5 linked regions of the Cricetulus griseus genome follow. The protein of the gene in region 3 interacts with the protein of the main gene of each other region in a biochemical or structural test. Links are inferred from orthologs where the notes say so. Each region holds a gene or a part of one and is shown on either strand. Other genes may lie near its edges.

The links.
Region 1: the proteins of Snta1 (region 3) and Scn5a interact in a test that uses a peptide from one of them, tested with the Homo sapiens proteins (2 studies listed by BioGRID and IntAct). The link is inferred for Cricetulus griseus from reciprocal best matches to the Homo sapiens genes SNTA1 and SCN5A.
Region 2: the proteins of Snta1 (region 3) and Wwtr1 interact in a test that uses a peptide from one of them, tested with the Homo sapiens proteins (2 studies listed by IntAct, with this or other methods). The link is inferred for Cricetulus griseus from reciprocal best matches to the Homo sapiens genes SNTA1 and WWTR1.
Region 4: the proteins of Snta1 (region 3) and Slc16a7 interact in a test that uses a peptide from one of them, tested with the Homo sapiens proteins (3 studies listed by BioGRID and IntAct, with this or other methods). The link is inferred for Cricetulus griseus from reciprocal best matches to the Homo sapiens genes SNTA1 and SLC16A7.
Region 5: the proteins of Snta1 (region 3) and proto-oncogene Mas interact in a test that uses a peptide from one of them, tested with the Homo sapiens proteins (2 studies listed by BioGRID and IntAct). The link is inferred for Cricetulus griseus from reciprocal best matches to the Homo sapiens genes SNTA1 and MAS1.

What each region holds. Positions count from the first base shown.
Region 1 is NC_048597.1:226,639,933-226,645,102, forward strand, and holds the start of Scn5a (sodium channel protein type 5 subunit alpha), read right to left. Parts: upstream 3,018-5,170; coding exon 2,745-3,017; intron 1,225-2,744; coding exon 1,106-1,224; intron 1-1,105. UniProt on the Homo sapiens protein: Pore-forming subunit of Nav1.5, a voltage-gated sodium (Nav) channel that directly mediates the depolarizing phase of action potentials in excitable membranes.
Region 2 is NW_023276806.1:93,867,682-93,872,724, reverse strand, and holds the start of Wwtr1 (WW domain-containing transcription regulator protein 1), read right to left. Parts: upstream 3,018-5,043; 5' UTR 3,003-3,017; coding exon 2,836-3,002; exon of another isoform or gene 2,723-2,835; intron 2,386-2,722; coding exon 1,951-2,385; intron 1-1,950. UniProt on the Homo sapiens protein: Transcriptional coactivator which acts as a downstream regulatory target in the Hippo signaling pathway that plays a pivotal role in organ size control and tumor suppression by restricting proliferation and promoting apoptosis.
Region 3 is NC_048599.1:25,250,146-25,254,620, reverse strand, and holds part of Snta1 (alpha-1-syntrophin), read right to left. Parts: intron 3,284-4,475; coding exon 3,079-3,283; intron 1,528-3,078; coding exon 1,320-1,527; intron 1,218-1,319; coding exon 1,087-1,217; intron 1-1,086. UniProt on the Homo sapiens protein: Adapter protein that binds to and probably organizes the subcellular localization of a variety of membrane proteins. May link various receptors to the actin cytoskeleton and the extracellular matrix via the dystrophin glycoprotein complex.
Region 4 is NW_023276806.1:132,026,256-132,031,288, reverse strand, and holds the start of Slc16a7 (monocarboxylate transporter 2), read right to left. Parts: upstream 3,018-5,033; 5' UTR 2,533-3,017; intron 1-2,532. UniProt on the Homo sapiens protein: Proton-coupled monocarboxylate symporter. Catalyzes the rapid transport across the plasma membrane of monocarboxylates such as L-lactate, pyruvate and ketone bodies, acetoacetate, beta-hydroxybutyrate and acetate.
Region 5 is NC_048595.1:288,209,789-288,213,374, reverse strand, and holds proto-oncogene Mas, read right to left. Parts: upstream 1,699-3,586; 5' UTR 1,693-1,698; coding exon 718-1,692; downstream 1-717. UniProt on the Homo sapiens protein: Receptor for angiotensin 1-7. Acts specifically as a functional antagonist of AGTR1 (angiotensin-2 type 1 receptor), although it up-regulates AGTR1 receptor levels.

The sequences.
Region 1 (5,170 bases), on a different chromosome or scaffold from region 3:
ACCCCGACCACATACACACCACGATGTCTCCCCCAACACCACAAGCAAATAAATACACGCAATAATTAACAACAACAGAAAGCCCAAACCAGCCAAACAAACAACAGCACTGACTACAGGCATGCCCTCGCCAGGTCACAGTGGCCACGGAAAGGGCTTCCCAAGTCCTCACAGTAAAATGTGGAGGTCTCTGCCTTGGTGGACAGCACCATCCCTCTCTGAGACTCCTCAAGTCCCTTCTCTGAAATCTAGAGACGAGACGAGTGGACCAGTGAGTCAGTTCAGTGGCAAAGGCACTTGCTGTTTAAGCTTGACCACCCATGTTTGATCCCGGGAACCCACATGGTGAAAGGGGACAACTGTCCCGTGCAGTTTGTCCTCTGACCTCCACATTCCCCCCACCCCCCCACAAGAACACAGTAAGTAAATAAGCATGTCTTAACAATGAAATGCGGAGAAGGACTGGTCCCCCTTCGGACGCTGCCTGAACTGGGCCCCCGGAGCTGGTTTGGCACTCTTTGCCCCACTGCTTCACTCCAATAGCTCTGTCAGCAGGCAGGAAGCATTTTTAGGCTGCGGTTTATGTAATTGGACGCTAACCAGAGTTCTTTGAGAAGCTCTCAAACTGCAAACATTTTGTCAACACCTAGTTCAGATGCAAGCGCTGTCTCCTTCAAAAGATGCCCACATGAGAAAAAACTAGAGGCCTTTTTACCAAGGCCTGGCTTTTCCTTGGCTGAGCCTCTGCAAGGGGCAGCGGGAAGTGTGGGGGGAACCTCCAGGTGGTGGTGGGTGGGGACATTTGGAGCCACCAGAAACAGGACAACGCTGAGGACATCATTTCTTCTGGAATCCTACTGCTGGTTTCAAGGCTGTTTTTCCTCTTGAAGAAGCAGAGGGGATGTCATGGCTTTCTCAAAGTCTCCTCCACCCCAAATACCCCCTAGGGATCTTGTTAATGAGCAGGCACTATCTAGGGTGGAGTTTGGGGTTCTATTTTTCTAATCAGTTGCTTGCCCCAGGAGCAGTAAGGGGTCTTGCCCAGCACCCATCGTGTATCAGCCCAGGACAGAGGCGGACCACAGGGATTAACAGCAAAGGATATGAATGTACCAGGATCTTCACTGCCGCTCTGCGTACGGGGTGGAAGGGGCTAAGGACGTACAAGGCATTGGTGGCGCTGAATCGGAAGATGGTTTTGCCCTTATTCAGCACGATGAAGGTCTGTAGACAGAGGGAGACAGCTGTCATCTCAGAGCCCCAGGTCGAGGCTAAGGGGCAGGGAAGCAGGAAAGGAAGTGAGACCCCATGCCTGGGCCGTGAGTGAAGAGGGGGAAGGTGGAGTCTGGGTGATGTCAGGTTGGTTGAGATTTTCTTTAGTTTCAGAATTACCATCTCAGCCAGGACCCTTTCAGGGGGTGTGGTGGCACACACCTATAATCACGGGAGAAGAGGCCTGAAGCCCACCCAGCCTGGACTCCATCCTTAGGCTCACCTACTGCCTGTCCCTCTACTGGTCTCATCTGACTCCAACCTAATCCTCTCTATTCCTCTCATGGTGACCTAGACTCTCTCAGCCATGTCCCTAACCCCAATCCCAATCCAGTCATCTCTGACCGTCCATGACCTAAGTCCACCTACCCACTCACCCAATTCACCTCTGGCCTAATAACTCTCACACTCATGCCCAACCCTGACTGACTCTAGTCACTTGAACCGGGAGTTCTGGAAGCTTCACAGTAGCCCCAGGCCAGCTTTCCTGACAGCGGGGACTGAGTGTGTGGGTCTCCACATCCATAGCTGATCACACACGCAGCCCTGTATGTGCACACACATACACACACAGATACACACACAGAGAGACACACGCTACACACACACACACACACACACACACACACACACACACACACACACAGGCTCCTAGTCTCCCAAAAGTTGTCTCTGACCATGCTGACAGACACACTGACACTCGTTACATGAACCCTCACACTGACTACGGTTGTCTTTCGCTCTGCTCTTAGCTTGGAGCTGACCATAGCTCTGGTGCCTGGCCTTCAGGGAAGTACTTTCTCCAGATTCCAGCCAGTTGTCCCACTACCAACCCCCCCCCCCAATTAGGCTCAGAAGTGAGGATAGTCGGGTGGCCTGAAGAGGAGGCCAGGGCAGGGTCTTGGAGAAACAACACCCCCTTCCCTCTCCGGGGGAGCCATGATGACAGAACAGGTCTTTCCCACAATTCCATGCCTCAGCAGTCGCGGCCTCTTCTCCCCTCTCAGCCTTTCATGGCCTCTGTGGTTCAGGGGAGGCCATACGGCCCAGGAATCTGAGACCACTGTGGCTCAGCTTGAGCCAGCTGGCTCTCTGAGCTGCCAGAAGGATGGGAGGAGCACACACCACTTTTATTTAGAAGGGAGACCACACAGGGCTTTACTCCAAGTGCTCACCCGTCTAGGAACAGGAAGGAGTACCCTAGAGGTACACACCAAAGCACTACATGAGAAGGAAAGACTTCTGTGGTCTTCCTGCCCCCAAGTTAGGGCCCCAAACACCACTATTTATGTCTTCACCCCAGAACTCCAAATTTAAGGTGACTGGAATATAGATCAGTGGTAAGTCACTCCCCCAAAGCCCAGGGGAGCCAGCCCCACACAGAACCCCACATGAGCAGAGCCCCATCTGCCTGCTGTCTTCCTAGGAGCTACCTAGAAGGGTGAGGAGGGTGTTGAGGGGGTGGCAGTCACCTTCTGGGTACTATAGAAAGGGTCCAGATCTTCCAGGGGCTCCCCGATGAGCTCTCGGGGTGGGTTGCCATAGAGATCTGGCAGCTTTTTAGAGGCCTGCAGGTCCAGCTGGGGCTGGGGAGCTTCCTCCTCTGGCAGGCCCTCACGACTCTCCTGTGACGTGGCCGAACCTCGGGCCTGCTTTTCCGCCATGCGCTTCTCGATGGCCGCCAGAGACTCCCGGGTGAACCTACGGAAGCTGCTGGTGCCCCGAGGTAACAGGAAGTTTGCCATCTTCTCATCCTGCTTCTGGGGGCACAGGATCTCCTCAGGCTGCCTGGGGGGAAGCTGGAAGACACAGACATGTGTGTGAGGGGGTGCCCCAGGCAGAGGGCAGGGCGGTCGGCCAGCTATGCTGGAGCAGGAAAGGACAAAATTTGCAAAGTGTACAGGGTTCCCAGCTGCCAATCACTGGTCAGGCACACATGATTGACAGTGGCTGGGGTACACACGTATGCTCTCCACTGTGGTGTGTGTGTGTGTGTGTGAGAGAGAGAGAGAGAGAGAGAGAGAGAGAGAGAGAGAGAGAGAGAGAGAGAGAGACAGACAGACAGAGAGACAGAGAGACAGAGAGAGACAGAGAGAGAGAGAGAGAGAGAGAAAGAGAGAGAGAGAGAGAGAGAGGGAGGGAGAGGGAGGAGATGTCACTGAACTGGCAATGTGTGTGTCTGAAAACCAGCGGTCAAGGGAAAATGTTCCATCATGAGTTTACCCTGCCCACTTCCCACACAAGAAACATCTCAACTGTCCTCTTTCAAGACTCTCCCATCCCCAACTGGCTCCCTGGGCTCCATGGGACAGGATGGACAGAGGCCATTTGTTTTATCCCAGACCCTGACAGAATGGATCTTCTGCTCCCGCATGAAAGGTGAAACACATGCAAATGTCGGGGGTCCTACCCTTCCTCACCAGGGAATATTCCCAGCCTGAGGGGTGTCCAGTTCTCACAGTCACCATGCCCACCCATGAGGTGGCACACACCATGCCCGCCCATGAGGTGTTACACACCAAACCTGGGCACAAGAGGCAGCAACTGAGAGGACATCAGCGTTCACCCCAAGGGACCCAGGAAAACCCTGCGGATTTTCAGAAACATCTGGGCAGCAGCAGAGGAGTCGGCATCCAAATGTTGGCACACTGGTGTGCACAGCTGTGCAGACCTCCTGATGAGGATCCCATGGGATCCCCTGGGGACAGCGCCATCCCTAACTAGACTGATTCTAAAGATGGGGAATGGGGGGGGGGCTGTGGCTCATCACACTGCCCCACTTCCCCCACAAGAGAGGACAAACAAATGCCAATCCCAAGGAGACCGGAAGACAGTGACCACTACTGAAGAGGACGTCCAACAGACACGTGTGTGATGTCAAACCGGGAGAATGTGGCCCCTGGCGGCCTCAAAAGATTCAGGACCTGGTGCAAACACACTCTGTCTATGACAGCAAGGCAGAAGAATGCATTCTGACTGGCTCACCAAAACAGGATGTGGCCAGAGGGCTCCTGACTATGACACGAAGCCAGGGGGCTGCACCTCTAATTACCACATCAAACCCGGGAATGGCTGGGCACCGGCTCAAGAGGGCAGACTGGACACCTGCTGGAGATCTCTGCCAGGGACACACTCCCTTCCTGTCAGCCAAGGGCTATGCCCTGATCTCACTCCTGTGGGGCATGTCAGGAATGGCTCCTGTAAGCTGCCGTGGCGCCCACCCCAGCTCACGGCCAATAAGGACCCAGACTCAGGGTGCTCTGAGCACCAAGGATTGCAGACATTCAACCAGGTGGCAGGTAAAAAGTGAGCATACTCAAGGGCCTCAAGGGGCACTTCTGGGGCTCTGAGGTGGTTCGGCGGGTAAAGGCCCTCACTGCCAAGCCCGACGACCTGAGTTCCACCCTTGGATCCCCACAAGATTGGTGGAAACAGAGAACTGACTCCTGGTGGTTGTTCTTTGACCTCCATGTTTGTTGTGGCAATATAAGCACACATGAGGGGGAGAAGAAGGGGCAGGGAACAGGGAAGGGGTTAAGAGAGAGGGATGGAAGAGGGAGAGCACACATGAGAATATAAATGTAATAAAATTAAAAAAAAAAAAAACACAGAGAGAGGGCACCTCTAGGGACTGGGTAGTATTTGCCATAAAAGTTTGAAGATCTGTTTGGTCCCTGGTTTCCAAATGAAAAGCTGTGTGAGAGTGCCTGCCTGAGATTTTAGTGCTAGGGAGGCATAGACAGGAAGACCCTGGAGCTGGCTGGGCCATCAGCCCAGACCAGGTCCTAGTGAGACACCCCAGTTCAGAAAACAAGTCGGACACCTCTTGAGGAATGACACCCCAAGCTGACCATTGGCCTCCACATGATAGCATATATGTGCTATCTGTACTGGGACA
Region 2 (5,043 bases), on a different chromosome or scaffold from region 3:
AGAAAAGAAATTGTTTTTACTTAGAGGTCATTTTTGTCTATGTTTCCACAGACATTAGGAAATCCCAGCTCTTATTTCATATTTCAATAATCATATTTATATGTGCATTCATGAGCAGTTTAAAAATAATCTGAGATCAAAAGGGACAATCTAAAATTATTTGGACTCTACTTATATTTATTGCGAAGTCCATGTTAGTAAAAATCCTGGTGAAATATGTACAGCTGCATTTACCTAAGTGAACTTAATACATGATGATATTTTGAACATGCGTGCACTTTGTAAACTTAGAAAAATACCATGCTATTACATCATGTACCTGACTTTAACACTATTTAGAAACCAAAGCACTGAGCACACATCTATACCATGGCTCAGTAATCCAGACACCGACTGTGATAAAAGACTGCTGAGTTGGCTTCAGGACATCACCATCACACCAACCCCCAAAACAAAGATAAAAATAATTAAAAGTATTCCCAAGAAGAGGCTAGAGGGATAGCTCAGTGGTCAAGACCATTTGATGCTCTTGCAGAGGACTGGAGTTCAGTTCCTAGCAACCTAATCCCCAATTAGGGGAGTTGCAGCTCACACTGCCAGTTCCCAGGAATTAAATACCCTCTTCTGGCCTCCATGGGCACTTCATGTATGTGGTACATACACATATCCCCAGGCACACACACATACACAGAAAATAATATAATAAATCTTTTCTTGTTTTTGTTTTTCAAGACAGGGTTTCTCTGAGTAATAGGTCTGGCTGTCCTAGAACTCAATTTGTAGACCAGGCTGGCCTCAGACTCACAGACTTCTGTCTGTCTCTGCCTCCCTGGTGCTAGGATTAAAGTTGTGTGCCACCACTGCCCAGCAAAATAAATCTTAATATAAACAAAATATCAGCAGCTTTGGGATGGGGAAGGAAGAAATGACAACCCGTATGAGTCTCAGACTTGCCCATAATAAATTCATCCACCACCATATGCTCATTCTTAGGGCCTCAACAATCGAAGTATCAAAGATAAATGCCAAAAAGGAGTTTGGTTAAACTTTTAAAATAGTACATGCTACCTTACATTTGAACCTTTGAAACAAGGCTACTTCAACAAAGAGATACAGCTCTATGATGAACTTCAAGACATGTTCGTAGGCACTTTTCCTTTTGGCAGTGAAGATTAGCCAAGAAGTGATTCTGCACCAAGTGGTTCAGCTACAACTTCCAAATAGGCCTTTGCTAGCCTGACCCCTATGATCTCACTGGTTCTGATAACAATTCCAGTTCCAGCCTGTTTCTTTCCTCAGGAATGCCAACCTCCTCTAGCATTTGAAAATATATTTTTCCTGTACAACCTAATCCAAAAACTGAGTCTAATGTAAAATTCACTACATGAAGAAGCCAGACCAATGTGACACGACCGATGACAATGCACACTCCTAATGTGATGGTATTATAGGTTACCAAGTGTAACATAATAAGACTCCTGACCCAATTTCCACACAATTTGTTGGTCCAGCCCATAACTACTTTACAATGCAGTTGGTAATTACATCACTGTGCTGTGTGGTCATTACATCACCAGCTGGGAGAGGTAAACCCACTAGGCACTGTGCTCTTTTCCGGCTTGCTTTTCCTGACTGTTTGAAGCACCCAGACGACCTACTCATGGCAGACCCACCGCTTCCAAGGTCTCCCAAAGTTCCTGTTATCTTATGCTAATAGACCTGGCTCTGAACTAGTTAAAGGAGGGAATTAAGTGTCTAAGATCACAAAAGCTGCTCCCTGCTTCTAGTCAAGTCCAACTCCCAGAGACTCACTCCCTAGTTTCCCAACTTTGCAATTCTCTGAAGAACCTTGGAAGAGTCTCAGTCAAACACACACGCACGCACACACCACGAAAGCGACAGCGTCCTGGGCATCACAGTTGTGCCCCTCTTGGCTGCCGGCTGACTTACTTGAGGAAGTATCTCTGGCCAGTGGCCGTGAAGGTCATCTCCCACCCGGGGGGCAGTGGCAGCTCGTCGGTCACGTCATAGGATTGCTGACGGAGATGCGCGTGCTGTTGTGCAGGGCCCCCAGCGGCGCCCGCACCAGTGCCTAGCTGCAGGGATGCGGGCGACGAGTGCGAGCGGACGTGCTGCGCGCCGCCTGCCAGTCGAGGCCCGGGGTGGCCGCCCGATGAGTCGGTGCTGGACTGGCGCGAGTGCGAGCCAGAATCCGGCTCCTTGAAGAAGGATTCCGGCAGGATCTTTTTCCGCCAAGAGCTGGGCTTGGGGTTCATGACAGAGTTGAAGAGGGCTTCGAGGTCCGTGTCGAGGTCCTGCGTGACGTGGATGACTTGCTGCCCTGGCGGCGGGAGCCCAGGAGGGACCGAGGACGGATTCATCTTTCTGCAAGGGAAAAGGAAGATCAGTTCATCCTTTTAGTTGAAGTCAGAGGAGATTGTGCAGGGGAAGGACAGAAAAAAAAAAAACGCAGAGACAGTTAGGTACCGGTCGAGGGACCAGCGGTGGGGGGAGGGGGCGCCCCTGGCCTCCGAGATTATGCAACTTTCCCGCAGCTAAGAAGCTCCCTTGAGCAGGCAGCGGTGGGAGGTGGAAGGGTGCCTGCATCAGGCCCGGTCGCAGCCTCCCCTGAGCAATACACCCACCGCCGATCCCAGGCGCCGGGACCGCGGACGCCGAAGAGCCCGGCGCCCGGGAGGGTGCGGGGCGCGGCGGGTGCTACCTGGGCACGCGGGGAAGCCGAGCCTGGGAGCCTCCCGAGCTAGCGAGCTGGAACCCGGTCCCGTCTGGCAGATCCTGAGCGAATTCCTAGCAGCCGAAAGTTTGGACTCTTACATCCCCGGAGCTAGCCCCGGGCGCTCGCACTGAGCGAGGAGGCGACGGAGAAGCAGCAGACGAGAGCAGCGGCCAAGGCTCCCGGACTGTCCCATAAACAAAGTTTGCAGCAAACTCCCACCCCTAGGAAAGAGGCGGGCCGAAAGTGGAGCTGTTGAATTATGCATGACCTCCTGGCCGGAGTCAGCCTGCCCCTCCTCTTCCTCCTCCTCCCACCCGGGTCGGTCGGTCGGGCTGGCGGGCGGGCGGGCGGGGTGGGCTGGGCACTTCGCGGCGAGTGAGACCGTGCCCCCGCCCCGCCGCGCCGACCTCTCCCGCCGAGCGCTCTATCTGCATTCCTTTGAGTTTACCACTGACTTGGGGCGGGATCAAAGAGAAAATGGCTCAAGCTTGTTAAATCAAGGGGTTATGGACAAAATCCAAGCCTGAGGATAACGGAGGGCACGTAGTCGTTGTCGAGGGGCCAGGGGCCAGAAAGGGTCGGTCCAGGGCGCTGTGCCCTCGCCTTGACGGGAGCGCCCCCGCATCGAGATCGCGGCACGGGGCGCGGATCTGCCCGAGGTCGGGCCGGGGCGCACCCTGGCGCAGGGAGACACCCGCGAGGCCAGACTTTCCACGGAAGGCTGCTTAGCGCTTGTGACCATATTTGGTCTGGTGAGGAGGCAACTTGGCGGTTTGGCTTTCAATTGTCTGCAAGAGCGTAGACGGTGTCCAAAAAGTGCCACTGTTGCTGAAGATGCGGCTTTGCCAAAGAATCGGTTGTAAACTACCAGCCTTCAAGCCTTTCATCAATAGTTAGTTTGCTCTACCGGGTGAATCCAGGATACTTGGGGTTGAAAGAAAAAAAAAAAAAAAACAGACAACGCTGAGTTCTAGAAGAGCCAAGCAATTGCGCCCCCTTCCCTCCTCCCGCGGCGTCTGAGAGGGTAGTGGGAGGATTGGAATGTCCCTGAGTCCCTCCAGGGAGCCTGGAACTGGGATGGAACCGGGGCAGGTGGCTAAGATGGAGAGGGTGTGTCAGTGACTCGGAAAAAGCTACCCACCCTCCCAGCGACTGGACCTGGGCCAGAGGTGGAGACCCCTGCCTGCCTTTGGGAAAAAGGAGTTCAGGCCTGGTAAGACAGCTGCCAGGAAGAGGGAGGCGGCCTTGCCCTTCCTACTGCCAGCTGCTCAACTCTATTCCTTCTTTCCTTCGGCCTCTCTCCAAGAAAGGGTGGCCGCATGTTAAGTCAAATTCCAGGAAGCCCCTACCCGACCCACAGATTCTAATAGACGTTTATTAATGATAAGCTAAGTAAGGCAATACCCGTAAAACACTTTGCTTAGCCTGGGCTGGGTACAAGTTTGTCAACAGAATTATATTAAACTCAGGCATTGTGACTCACCTTGTTAAAGAGCAAAATAAAGTCAAAATTAAATCCACAGTTGACGGACAGAGTTATAGAAAAATGAAGAGGCCTATGATCTACCAGAAAGTTGAAAGGACAAAGGCACTTTAAGAAATAGAAGAGTGGATAACGATATGGCTCAACAGGTAAAGACCCTTGCGGGCAAGCCTGACAAACTGAGCTCCATTTCCACACCCAACATGGTGGAAGGAGAGAACCAACTTCCATAAGTTGCCCTCTGGTTTCCACATAAGTCCCTCCCACCCCAATAAAAATGATATTTAAAAAAAAATTTTAGTCTACTCGAATAACTGTATCCTATTCCAAAGTGTTAACTATGCTTGAGCTGTGACCTCCATGCCTCTCAGAAGCTGGGCAAAAACAGCGTAGCCTTATGTCAAGGCCTCTTGAACTTTCCACTCATGGCCCCTGTTTGCCTGAAAAATGGTTACCCAACCCCTAACTATATAGGTGTATAAAATTTGTACAAATCAAACACTGATAATGATAAATTGATTTTAAATCAATTCCTGGGTGTATATACAGGATTTTGTCATTCATTGAAGGCAATTTGGGCTGTGACTAAAGCTCAGTGGCAGAATACTTGCCTAGGATCGTTCTCTAGTAATAATAAATAAAATGACTATGACTGTATATAAAATTTAAGCTGTTTAATACTGCAGGAAATAGGACATTTTTAATATTTCTCACTTTTTATTTTATAGTTGCTAGTCCTGAGACTGGTATAGCACAAAATGGCAGAAGTGTCTTTTGGGCCTTTTCAGAAACTATCCTAGTTTCTGAATGTTTCTATCCTAGT
Region 3 (4,475 bases):
GACCCTGTCTCTAAAAAAGAATATGGAGTGGGCATGATAACACATGCCTTTAATCCCAGCACTTAGAGCAGTTCAAGGTCAGCTTGGTCCATGTGCAAATTCCTAACCAGCCATGGATACATAGTAAGACTTTGTCTCACAAAAATTAACATAAATACATATATATACAAATATATATATATATACATAAACATATATGTATATATGGTAAAGCCAAATGTGGTGGCATATATCTGAAACCTCAGGACTGGAGGGAGCAGAGACAGGTGGATTGTGTGAACTTAATGGCTAGCCAGTCTAGCCAAAAATAACAACCTCTAGGTTTGATGAAAGACAAAGTCTCAAAAAATAAGGTAGAGCTAAATAGAAAAAGGTACCTGAATATGACTTCTGGTTTCTATATTTGTATGCACTCACGTGCATGCACACACACACATACACACACACAAAAAAAAAAAAAAAAAAATCCTGCTAACACAGTGTTCCTTCACCAGACAGCAGCTCTGTCTCTTTCCCCCCCAGTTCCCATGTGGATTCTGTATGTGGTTCTGCCACATTTACAGGTCATGAACATGTTCTAGCCCTCCATGCCTCTGTACCTCTGGCCACACCTAAGATGCTCTCCCTTGCTTCCTCAAAAGCTACAGTTCTTATTCATCAAAGTCCATTTCAAGTGTCACCTTCTCCTTAAGTCTTCCCTGGCCAAGCCAGACAGCTAAGTGTCTCCTATAACCTTCAATGTAATGGCTAGACATACATAATGGTTATTCTGGGTTTGTCTCCTGACTGACTCCGGATTCTCCCTGAGGGCAGTAACTATTCATGTCACTGTGTGTCCCCTGAACCGTGCAGTACAAGATGAAGGTATCAATAACTGAGTGACAGTTAGCACTTCACATTTTTCTGTTCTGAGCCTCAACTTTATAAATGGGGGAAATTGTGGCTGTAGGGAGCAGAACTTGCTTCAGATCACCTGGGAAATAGCTGGAGGCAGAACAGCACTGGGGTTTGGGGCTTCTGGGGTCCATCTGGAACACCACCCTCCCAAGTCTGAGTATAACACCGAGCGTTCCTGCTCTTCAGTACCTGGTGGCGATGAGCGGGGCAGTACGGGCTGGCCTGCTCAGGGCCTCTCGAGTTTGGGGGAGAGAGCAGTAAAGGAGCAACTCCTTCTCTGTCAGCAGGGCCAGGGTTGGGGCTGTACCTCCACTGGGCAACTGCAAGCAAAAAGGTAATGAGGACGGATGGGATGAAAGAGGTCAAAGGGCCGGGAGGGCATGGGGTGATAAGGTGTGACAGAAATGGGGCCCAGCAAGCACCTGTTCTGTCAGCCAGCCAATCTGCTTGATGTCCTGGCTCCCAGCTGTACCTGTGGCTGTCAGCAGTGCCTGCAGCTCATCCTTGACCCAAGGTATGAAAGTGCTGATCTGGGCTTGGATGGCACCTGCCCATGACCTTGCACTGGCCTCATCCTTGGCCCTCAAGAACAGGGTATCCTGGCCATCTGCTGCCCCTATCTCCAGATACCTGAAGGCACAATGGGATAAAAGATAGGACATGTCACTGGCCAGCTATCCATCCCAGACATCTAGTTCAAGAAAGCCACCCACTGCCAAACTGGAAGAAGCCACACAGGCTGTCCATGAGAGATAAGGATTGTGTTTAGGGCTGAAGAGATGGCTCAGAGGTTAAGAGCACTGGCTGGCCGGGCGTTGGTGGCACACGCCTTTAATCCCAGCACTTAGGAGGCAGGGGCAGGTGTATCTTTGTGAGTTCAAGGCCAGCCTAGTCTACAGAGCAATTTCCAGAGACAGCCGCAAAGAAATCTTGTCTCAAAAAACCAAAAAGAAAAAAGAAAAAGAAAAAGAGAAAAAGAGAGCAACCAGGTGTGATGTCCCGTCTGTAGTGTCAGCACATTATCACCAGGGTGGGTAGAGGCATTGCAGCCAAGCTCAGCAACCTGATTCCCATGGTAGAAGAGAAAAGTTGTCCTCCAGCCATCACACATACATTGTGGCATGTGCACATGCATGCACATACAAAATAAACAAATACATAAATGTAATTCAAAATTTTAAAACACTGAACTACCTAAACTATACAGACCCCTTCTCGAAAAAGAAAAAAAGAAAAAAAAAAAAAAACAGGTTGGGAAATGAGATAAAATGGGTAGAGAGAAAAGAAACAAAAAGCCATGCCATCAAGTGTGGAGGGAGAGCAACAGTGATACTGGAAAGGTTTTCCAAAATGTTTTGTGTTCCGTTAAAGATTCGCTCCCCTTTGGATTTCTGTACTACAAGGAGTAGGGCAGAAAGGGGAGGCTACTCCCAACACCTAGCCCATCCAGCTTTGCCCCTGCCTTCCTCTACTGCAGAGCTGAAAGCAAAGGACTTGAGTCCATGGATTCCCTTGCAGTTATGCCAGCCACATGACCCAGTTCTAACCTCTGAGGCTTTGACAGAGGTCTCTGGAAATCAAAGGAAAACCTTTCCAAAGACAGACCAAATCCACCCCTCGCTACACACATTGTCTAGTTCTCCCAGCACAAGGATGCAATTCAAAATACCAGATGTGGTAGTGCACCCTGTAATCACACCACTGGTAAAGTGAAAGCAGGAGGATCAAGCAGAAGTTCAAGGTCCTCCTGGGCTACACAGCGAAATTGAGAATAGCTCCAGCTACTTGAGACCCTTTCTTAAGAAGAAGAAAGCCAAGGAGAACCAAGGCTGGAAGCCAGGGCTCCTCCCTAAGCCAAGTTCCTGCTCACCTGTTAATTTCCCAGAGGAAGATGAGACAAAGGGCAGTGTGGCACACACCTTTGATCCCAGCGAGAAGAGAAGAGAAGAGAAGAGAAGAGAAGAGAAGAGAAGAGAAGAGAAGAGAAGAGAAGAGAAGAGAAGAGAAGAGAAAACAAGCAGTGCATACCATCACCCTAGAGTTAAGTCATGCGTCCATTTGACTCAGTTGTGAAGCACCTGCTTCATGCCAGCATGGATGCTGGTATGATGTTTGTCACTTACATACAACACAGATATCCTTCGTTTGTATTATCTGAGTGCCTCCCCACTCCAGCCTCACCTGGGTTCCGGGTCAGTGGGCGTGCACCTCCTTGAGACATATGCCATCTTCAAGGATATATGTTTGGCCTCACTGAGGTTCCTGGGCTGGGGACCAGGGGAAGAAGGCTGACGCTGAAGAGGTGAGGCAGGAGGTGAGTCCCAGCCAACCGAGGTCCCGCCAGCAGAATTCTTGAAATACGGTGAGACCTCCTTCATGTATTTAACTGGCAAGAAGAGAGGCCGCCTGTTACCATTGCTGCATGAACTCCATGTAGCATATATCACAATTGTCGCTAGTTAATTAAAAGCTTACTTTATGGAGCTGGACAGATGGCCCAGTGGTTAAGAGCACTGGCTGCTCTTCCAGAGGACCCAGATTCTATTCCCTGAACCCACATGGCAGTTCACAACTGTCTCTAACTCCAGTTCCAAAGGATCCAATGCCCTCTTCTGACATCAATGGGCCATTCATGCAAATGGTACACAGACATAAATTCAGGTAAAATACTCCAAAACATAAAATAGTAAAATGAAAATAATTTTTAAAATAGTGCAGTCCATAAACAGATGCAATCATCTCAGAATTGCTAACATCAGACTTGGAACCCTTACCTAAACATAACATTTGAGCTATCAAGCACAGGTAAACACACACTCTCTCTCTTTCTCTCTCTCTCTCTCTCTCTCTCTCTCTCTCTCTCTCTCTCTCTCTTTCTCTCTCTCTCTCTCTGTCACTATTTAAAATTTTTAAAGATGATGTTTGATTTAAAGCAAAACATCTTCCAGGCATGGTGATATCAGACAGAAGCGTCAGGAGTTGAGGTCAGCATGGGTGATTTAGCTAGACCCCATCTCAATAATCCTACTTCAAGGCCAGCCTGATCTACAGAGCAAGTTCCAAGACAAAAAAGAAAAAAAAAACAAAGTAAATAAAATAAGCACATGACTGTAAACCAAGCATTTGAGAGCTAGAAAAAGAGAAATCAGGAGTTTGAGACTAGCCTGGGCCGCACAAGCCCATCTCTTCAAAAAAAAAGGGGGGGGGCAGGAAGTGACTCCAGCAGAATACGTGTCTTCCATGTTCAGATTCCTGAGTTCAATCCTTGGTAACACACACACACACACACACACACACACACAGAGAGAGAGAGAGAGAGAAAGAGAGAGAGAGAGAGAGAAAGAAAGAAGCAATGGAAGGGGGTATAAGAAATGAAGACAGAGTTGTATGATGGTTCACACCTGTAATCCCAGAACTCAGGAGGATGGGGCAGGAGGATTGACAAGAATTGGATGCCACAGAGTGTGGCTCTAAACTGTCCTAATGCTGTAGCCCTTTAATACAGTTCTTCACGATACAGAGACACCCCTCAATCATAGAACTATTTCATTGCTACTTTATAAATGTAATTTTGCTAC
Region 4 (5,033 bases), on a different chromosome or scaffold from region 3:
CCTTTTCCTTCAGGGACTTTTGAATATGGACCTTTGAAGGATAAAAATGTGTAGGATGGTAGGTAGCCCTCTATTACAAAATAATCCTGTGGTAAAAAATCCTTGCCAACTCAGAAACAATCGTGGTATCTCGGTCTTAATGACTGGGTGTTAGTTTCTTTTTTGTCATATAAATTTTCCCAAGTGTTTTAATGAGTACGGAATCAAAGGGAAAGTTCTAGAGACACCACATCTATGAACCCAAAACACAATTCTGGATAAGGAGCATCATTGAAGTCATCCTACCTTCCATACCTCGAGGAAGGATGAAAGCCTGAAATACAGGGCAGATACTGTACAAGAAACAGGCGTGTCTAGAAACAAACTGGAATTGATAGGAGCGTGTGCTAATTTGCAGATAAGAAACTGTTGGTGACACTGAAGGTCACATCAGGGAAAGAGTGGCACATGCCCGCAATCTCTGTCCCTGGGGAAGAGGACCAATGTCAAGTCTCCCTAGGCAACACAGAGAATCCAAGGCCTGTCTGGCTAATTTAGCAAGAGTCCGCCTCAAAATAAGTGGATAGGGACATTGCACAATGATAGATCCCTGGGCTTAATCCTCTGCTGCTCCCCCACAAAACTTCAGATTGTTAACCACTAGTTTAAAACAAAACAAACAAAACCCAAAACAAAACACACAGGAGGAAAGAGCAGTATTGATGTGAACTGTAAGGATTTAGGCATTATCTCGGCCTGCCCCTGTCAGCTGGCAGAATGCACTCAGGCGGTACCCCGGTCAGCCCAGGGTTCCATGGTTGTATAGTCTGCAGGCGGGTGCAAAAGACTCCTTTAAAAGAAAGACCCCCCACCCACTGAACGCTGTCTTTCTTGCTCTCTCTTTCCCTCTCTCTTTCCCTGGGGCAGATGGGACTTTTCCTGTCTCCCTCTTCTCTTCTGTCCTCACTCTGTGTTTCTGTGCCTTTTTACCTCCACCCCTCTTCCCTTTCTAATAAAACTTCTCACTAAGCTCTGTCTGCCTGGCATGTTTGTCCCTCCGCCTCGGTCACCCTTGCCTGTCATGGAATCCACCAAGTTCCTCCACAACACTTTTTCATAACATGAACATCTGTGAGCTGTGGCAGCACACACTGAGATAGCTGTCTTACGCCATGCCATCCCTGTCGCTAATATCATTTAGTTACCCTCTCATCTAGATGGACTTCAACGCACAGCACAGTGAAGCAGATGATGGAGTTAGCATTATCTCACGACTTAACCTCGTTCAACGCTCATCTTTGTTCGGCGTCCCACACTCAACTCTCCTTTTTCTATCACCTTCTTTAAATGCAGCTTGGTGGTTGGGGTGACAGAGTACAGTCAATGGGACCTAGGCAGGCCTTGAAAGGCCTCCTGTATGTGCTGACCGGTTTCAGCCTTGAAGCCTGGTATGCCAGGATTTGTGTCCATGATTTCCTCTTGCCCAGGCTTTTAGGGTCATGTGTTCGTCACTCCCTGCTATTTTTATTCCTTCATTGCATTTCCTTCTGGTTTGAGGAGGGAGGAGGACATGGATTATTAGCTTTTGAATGGCTACTAGACAGCCCTCAAGGAGGCCCAGTCTTATTTCTTCACCAAAGTGAGTTAAAGAAACACTCGAAGAGAAATAGCTGTGTGTGTGTGTGTGTGTGTGTGTGTGTGTGTGTGTGTGTGTGTGTGTGTGGTGGTGGTGGTGGTGGTGGTGGTGGTGGTGGTGTGCCTGTGCTGCTTCTCCAAGTAAAACAAGAGTAGTCCAACCAGGAATGAGAGAGGCCTAAAGCACTATCGCCCCTCCCAAAGCGATCTGCAGAAGGTAGCAGAAGTAGAAAAGGTATCAGAAGTAGAAAAGGATGGAGAGGCCAGCTGGGATGCAGCATCCGCTGGGGCTCACAGCCACCTGTGCTACCTAGCCAAGACTGTCACCCCCAGCGTGGTGAAGTGGTTCAGGAGGCTCAGAGGACATCAGGGTGGCACAGGCCCTTCTCAAGCCCCTGGAAGACAACCACAAGCCTCTCTTGCCAGCAGCCTCTACCTTGACTTCCTGGGAACCGAAACAGAACACCTTGCCTTCCTCGAAGACTCAGATCTTCTTCAGAAAGAGCTGCCATTCCCTCCACGCACTTCCCCACCCATCCAAACCCACTGCAAGGACACCGCCCAGGATGCTGTAGGTCAGGGAAGATTCTGGAGAACACCTCGGGGGCGCTGGCCTGGCAGGGCCCGCCCACTCACTGTCCTGAGGTGCCCGCACCAGGACTGCACTAGCAGCTGGTGGCGTGGGCCCTGCAACCTCTGGATCCCCAGACCTCGGGGGCCCCCGAAGCGCCCGCCCGAGCCCGCGCCGGATCGGCTTCGGGATTTTGTCTATATAAGGGCTCAGGGCACAAGGCGCGCGCGGGCTGGCAGCCGGGGTTGCAGGCTCTCTGCACCCGCGTGCGGTCCCTGGGTAGCCGCACTCGCTCTCCTCCCGCCTCGTCCTCCTCCTCCCGTCCTCCCAGGGAGCACCGCCTTTACCTGGCTCCAGCACCCGGTGCACACACCGCAGCTCTCCCGGTCCCCCCGCCCAGCTGCAGCCTCCTCGCCTCGCTGTCACCGGCTGAATGGAATTATTTATTTATTTATGTCCCCTGACGTGTCCTCGCCTGCCGAGGCCTGGGGGAGGGGGACGGGGGCGGGGGCGGAGGCAGATTGGGGTACCCGGGAGCGCGCCTGGGTGCGGTGCCGGGGAGGACGCGGGAGGAGGGCGCGGGCTGGGGGCGCAGGGAAGGAAGGCGCACTGAGCATGCTCCCAAGGGCGCCGTGGTTGTGCTGGTCGGTGCGAGCTCTGTGGCTCCCAGCACTCCACTTCGGGTTTTAGTTCTGACCAGGAGCGATCGGTGGTGGCTGGGCACTCAGACTTGCTTCCAGGCTGGTGCTTTGGCGCCCAACCTGAGAAGGCAGGTGTGAGGTGGCTCTAGAGACCTAGGCTGTTATGCAATCTCCAGATAAGGATGCCGAGAGGAGCCTGCTGCGGAAGGCAGAGAAAAGAGCAAGACCTCTTCATGAGCTAGGGCGGAAAGGGCTGTGTGACTCATCCATCCATTCATGCATTTGTCCCTTCATTCAGTTCAGGATTTCTGTCAGTAGTGAGTGCTGGCCCGATTGAGGATGGAGAAAGAGATTCTGGTCAGAGCCAAATCCCTCCATGGAAAAGACAAAATTTAGGCGAAAGGAGAAGGGGAACAGAAAACAGCACAAGACGCAGAAAGTATGAGAATTCGGTGGTGGGGGAGATTGTCGATTTTAATTCCTTTCCTTTTTGTAGCTCACATTATTCCAGTTTTCAAGACAGGATTTACTTACTTGACAAAGAATAATGCACAAATGTTGATTTTGTTTCTTCCCCTAACATGTCCTTCTTGGGGAAGTTAAAAAGAGGAAGGGTTGGCGCTGAAGAGTTAGACAACTCCCAAGACTGGCTTTCTTTAACCTCTTTAAGTGGACTCTCTGATTAGAAAAGCTGTGTGGAGCTTTTGCATTTGAGAACTTCGTTGAAGTTTTCTGTCCATTTAACTGGCCTTTCCTTCTCTTAATTTCATAACGCAACACTCCATTGTAGATGGAGTCTACAATTGTAGACTGAATTGTAGATGCAGTCTACAATTAATTACGTTATACACATTTGGAGGCAGACACGGGAAGGTGGTACCACTTGGATAAATTCGGGAGGTATTGCTTTGCTCCAGCTAGTCAGTCTGTAGGCAAGGGCAGAATTTGAATTTCAGGTTCTGCAATTACAAAAGAGGAATATGGTTTGCATAAGACTTAGGCAGGACGAATATATAAAGGGAAATATAAAGCGATCAGGAGAAAATTTGAGAGGACCCAGTGGAGTGGTGGCCGCTAGTTTCCAAATGTGCCATACAAAAAACTTCATTGGATAAAGAAGTTTGCCGCCGAGTCCGGTGGCCTGAGTATGATGCTCAGAATCTACATAGCAGAGAGGACCTACCCTTTCAAGCTGTTCTCTTTCCCCCACACCCCTGGCAAGCATGTACATGTACACACGTGTATACATACACATACAATACACACGAAATAAATAATGATAAATGTTAACTGATTTTAAGAAGATTATAATTCCAAAATTAAAAGTTAAGGCAGAACATTCTGGAAACAACCTGTTTTCTCAGGAGGAAAAGTAAACTCAGCATAAATAGATATTTGTAGAAGATAACAATTGAGAATCTAACAAAGACTATAAATATATTTATATCATTGCCAAGAAAGAGTGATAAACATTTAAAAGAAGCAACCTGAAGACATAGCAAGGTCATGTTCTTGGATATTTGTTATTAAGATTTTTTCCTGCTCACCCATCTCTTTTATTTCTTTTCCAAGAAAAGGAAGTGCAAGAAAGCCCGAAGTTGTTGAATTTAATCTGTTCTCCCCTTTCCTTCTCTTATGTGTTTTATTTTTTTTTATCTTATTTTCTCCAGTGTCTGGTCTTATTTAACCCATTGCCAAACCTGCAAACATCAACACTCAACATTTTAGAAACATAGCATGCTTTATTTGTAAGTGCTGTTTTTCTAGTACTTAAATCTCTCAATCCTGCTGGGCCTGGTGGTACAGCTGAGGCAGGAAAGACTGGGGCTTCCAGGCTATGAAGTGAGTTCAGGGTCATCAAGGGTTACTTAGTGAGCTAATGCTTCTAACCAGTGGTCCTAGACCTTCCTAATGCTACAACCCTTTAATACAGTTCCTCATTGTGTGGTGACCCCAGCCATAACATTATTTCATTACTACTTCATAACTGTAATGTTGTTACTGTTATGAATCTTAAAGTAAATATCTGATATGAAGGATAGCTGATATGCAACCCTTAAAGGGGTCACCACCCATAGGTTGAAAACCATTGCTTCCAAATAAAAATTTTTTCTTTAAGGCTGAGAGCTTAGCCTAACAGTATAAGGCTTGTCTGGTACAACAACCCAAGCTTAACTCTCAGGACCACAAACAAACCAATAAAAACC
Region 5 (3,586 bases), on a different chromosome or scaffold from region 3:
ATGGGAAGCCATGGGAAATTTTTCCAAGAGGGGACAAATGTTTGTTTCCCGAACTCAAAATGCTGTCCCAATCTGTTGCTGCCCAGATTGGAACAATTGATGATGTTTCGGCAGAGCTGTCATGAAAAGCTGTTATGCTACAAGCCAAAAGACGTTTAGGAATCTACATTCCACGTTTAAAAGCACAAGACAATATCTGTATGAGAACATTGTGTTCTGGTTAAAGGATGAAGAGAGATGGACGTTTATTGAACTTTGACAATGGGCAGGTGCTTTGCCTACCTTGCCTTACTCCACAATAACCTGCACACTACAAACTGTCACCACTTCCACTAAGGGGGGAAATGAGGCTCCCCAAAGCCACTTGCTTGAAGTCACACAGGAGCAAACAGCAGTCACTGCATGGCTTCCCTAGGTTCTCCAGGTCCCATCTGGGATACTTCCTGCTAGAGCAGTTTTTATAGTTAATGGTTGATCACTAAGAGCTAAGAGAAGAGTGAGTCTCTGACAAGAATGGGAAAGACGGAGCAACCTCACTTATGGAGGCATTTCCAGAAGACACTAGATAGGAACACAAGATCATCGTCGATTACACTTTCATGCATGTGGAATGCTTCCCTTCTGTATCATTTTTGGAGATTTAAATGTGCTTTGATTGCACGCCAAGCGCAAATTGAAAGCCACCCTCATTGTGTCCACAATTCCCTGCTGTGGTCCTCAGACCACCGTCTCAATAGACATGGTGTTGCCATTGCCCTCCTGGCGTCTGGGCTGCATTTCATCTTTGAAAGCTCTGGTCAGAACCACTTTCAAGGACTCCCTGAAGCGCTTCTTCTTGCTGCTGCCCACAAAAAAGTAGATGAACGGGTTGGCGCTGCTGTTGACAGTGGAGAACAGCAGAGAGATGTTATGCAGGTTCCCAAAGGCTGACCAGTATTCGTAGTAAAGCAGGTAGAGGACCCGCATGGGCACCGCAAAGATGAGGAAAACGATGATGGTGACCATGATGACGATGTACAGCTTCGATGAGTGGGAGGCCCACGTGTTCTTCCGTATCTTCACCACCAAGATGGTGCTGGAGACTAGCATGAGCGGGGTGAAGACCAGGAAGCTGAGGATGGCTATGAAGATGATGACCGCCCGGCAGTCGCTTCGAGACCGACTCTCTTCCCCACTGTCGATGCACATGACGTACTCCATGGTGGTCACCAAGCACGAGAGTGCCCACAGGAGGGCGCAGACAAATGCCGACTGGTGCTTGGGGCGGTGACATCTGTACCAAATTGGGTAGAGGACCGACAGGCACCTCTCCACACTGATGGCTGTCAGCAGATAGAGGCCCGTGTTGTAGCCAAATAGAAAAGTCACCGATAATGTAACGATTGTGTAGTAATGGCCAGAAGAGAGTTCGTAGTCCAAAGCATAGTCAATGGACAGAATGAAAATACAGAACAAGAGTGAGATGTCAGCAATGGACAAGTGGGTGATGTAGACTGTGAAGGGGTTTCTCCTCATCCGGAAGCAGAGGAACCAGAGGAGAATTCCGTTCTCTACAAAGCCCAGCGGGGAGATGCTCATAATGACCCAGTGCACTATGGGAATGGGCGGGTGTGAGCTCCCCAGGGAGGCATTCCTGCTGGAGGTGTTCATGGCTTTCTCCTCTGCAAGAGATGTCATATTTGACTGGTCCATGAGGAGGCTCTGGGCTGAGCCGCTTCAGGTCATTTTCTGTAAATAAGGCAAACAAACAAACTATGAAAGCTGGAGAAATAAAATAGAAGAGACAGCTTGCAGGGAGGAAAATGCTTGCTTTGTTAGCTGGGGCGTTGCTGGCGCACACCTTTAATCCCAGCACTCCGGAGGCAGAGGCAGATGGATCTCTGTGAGTTCGAGGTCAGCCTGGTCTCCAGAGTGAGTGCCAGGATAGGCTCCAAAGCTACACAGAGAAAACCTGTCTCGAAAAAACAAAAAAGAAAAGAAAAGAAAAATGCTTGCTTTGCAAGCACAAGGAACTAAGTTGGATTCCTGAGACTCACATTTAAAAACAAACAACAGCTGGGTGGTGGTGGTGCATGCCTTTAATCCCAGCACTTGGGAGGCAGAGGCAGGCAGATCTCTGTGTAAGCCAGCCTGGTCCACAGAGTGAGTTCCAGGACAGAGAAATCTTGTCTCGAAAAACCATATAAATAAACAAACAAAACAAACAAACAAACAAACAAAAATTCCATAGGTTTGGGGCCTGCAGAGCTGGCTCAGTGGTTAAGAGCACTGGCTACTCTTGCAGAGGTTCCAAGTTCTGTACCCAGCACCCACATTTTGGCTCCTGAACAACCTATAACTCCAGTTTCAAGGGATCCAACACCCTCTTCTGACTGAGGTCACCTGCCATACAGTACACAAATGTACATGCAGGCAAAAAAAGTAAATAAACAAACCGCTCATACACACAAAAATAAAAATAAATAAATAGGGGCTAGAGAGATGGTTCCATGGCTAAGAATTTATTGCTATTACAAAGGACCCAGTCTGGGCTATAACCCATGGTCCAGTTGGAGTCTGGAGGTCATGCTACTGCTGGGGTCATACAGATTTGGGTAGCAGATTAGGCTGTGGTGCCATCCAGGTCCAGGCTTCTGCGGAGGGCGGTGTCTGAGTCGGTAGCCCTATAGCAGCCAGGGTGCAGGTTGATATCCACGGTTCCTGTTGCCTCCAAGGACCTTGTGGATGCCCAGGGTCAGGTCAGCCACCTGAATCCATGTTGGTGTCTGAGGGCCAAGCTGCAGCCAGGGTCATACAGATCTGTGTGGCCTGAGCTGCTACCCAATGCCATGGTGACATCCGGGCCAGAACTGCAGCTGAGGGCCATGTCTGGGTCCATGTCCCTACTGTAGCCAGGGTCCTATCTGTGTTGATGAGACTTCTGTTACCATTGAAGTCCATGTGGATGCCCAAGGTATGGGGCCATGTTAGTGGCTGAGAGCCACACTGCCACTGGGGCCATGCCAATCTGAATGGCCTGCAACACTGCCATCTGTGGCAATGGTGACATCTAAACCTGGCTATTGCAGAGGACCATGTCTAGGTCTGTGGTCCTATTGAGACTGGGGTCTGTGTTGAAGTTCAAGGCCTGTGCTGCCACCAAAGGCCACACAGAAGCCTAGAGTTGGGACTGCAACCTGTGGCTTTATTGGTGTCTGGGGGATCCGAATGGCCAGTGCTTCTAACCAGAGCTAGGTTGCCATCTGAGCCTGAGCTGCTGCTGAGGACCATGTCTGGGTCTGCAGTCCAGCTGCAGATGGAGTTTGTGCTGATATCTGTGTCCTGTGTCACCTCAGGGGGTCATAGGAACCATGCATGATGAAATCAGACAGCCATGCTGAGCTGACCCTGCCCTTCAATGGCCCTAGGAAAGCTGGCCCTACCTCTGGATGGACACTGCAGCAAGAGAGCTGACCATAGCACTGGAGAGAGATGGCCCCACCCCTCACCACAGGTGTGTAGGGGAGCTGGCTCTGTCCTCTTGCCTGAGGTGGGTGGCCCCAGTGGCCGGGACTGGCTAGGTCAGCTACCATCCAGGTCCACAGCT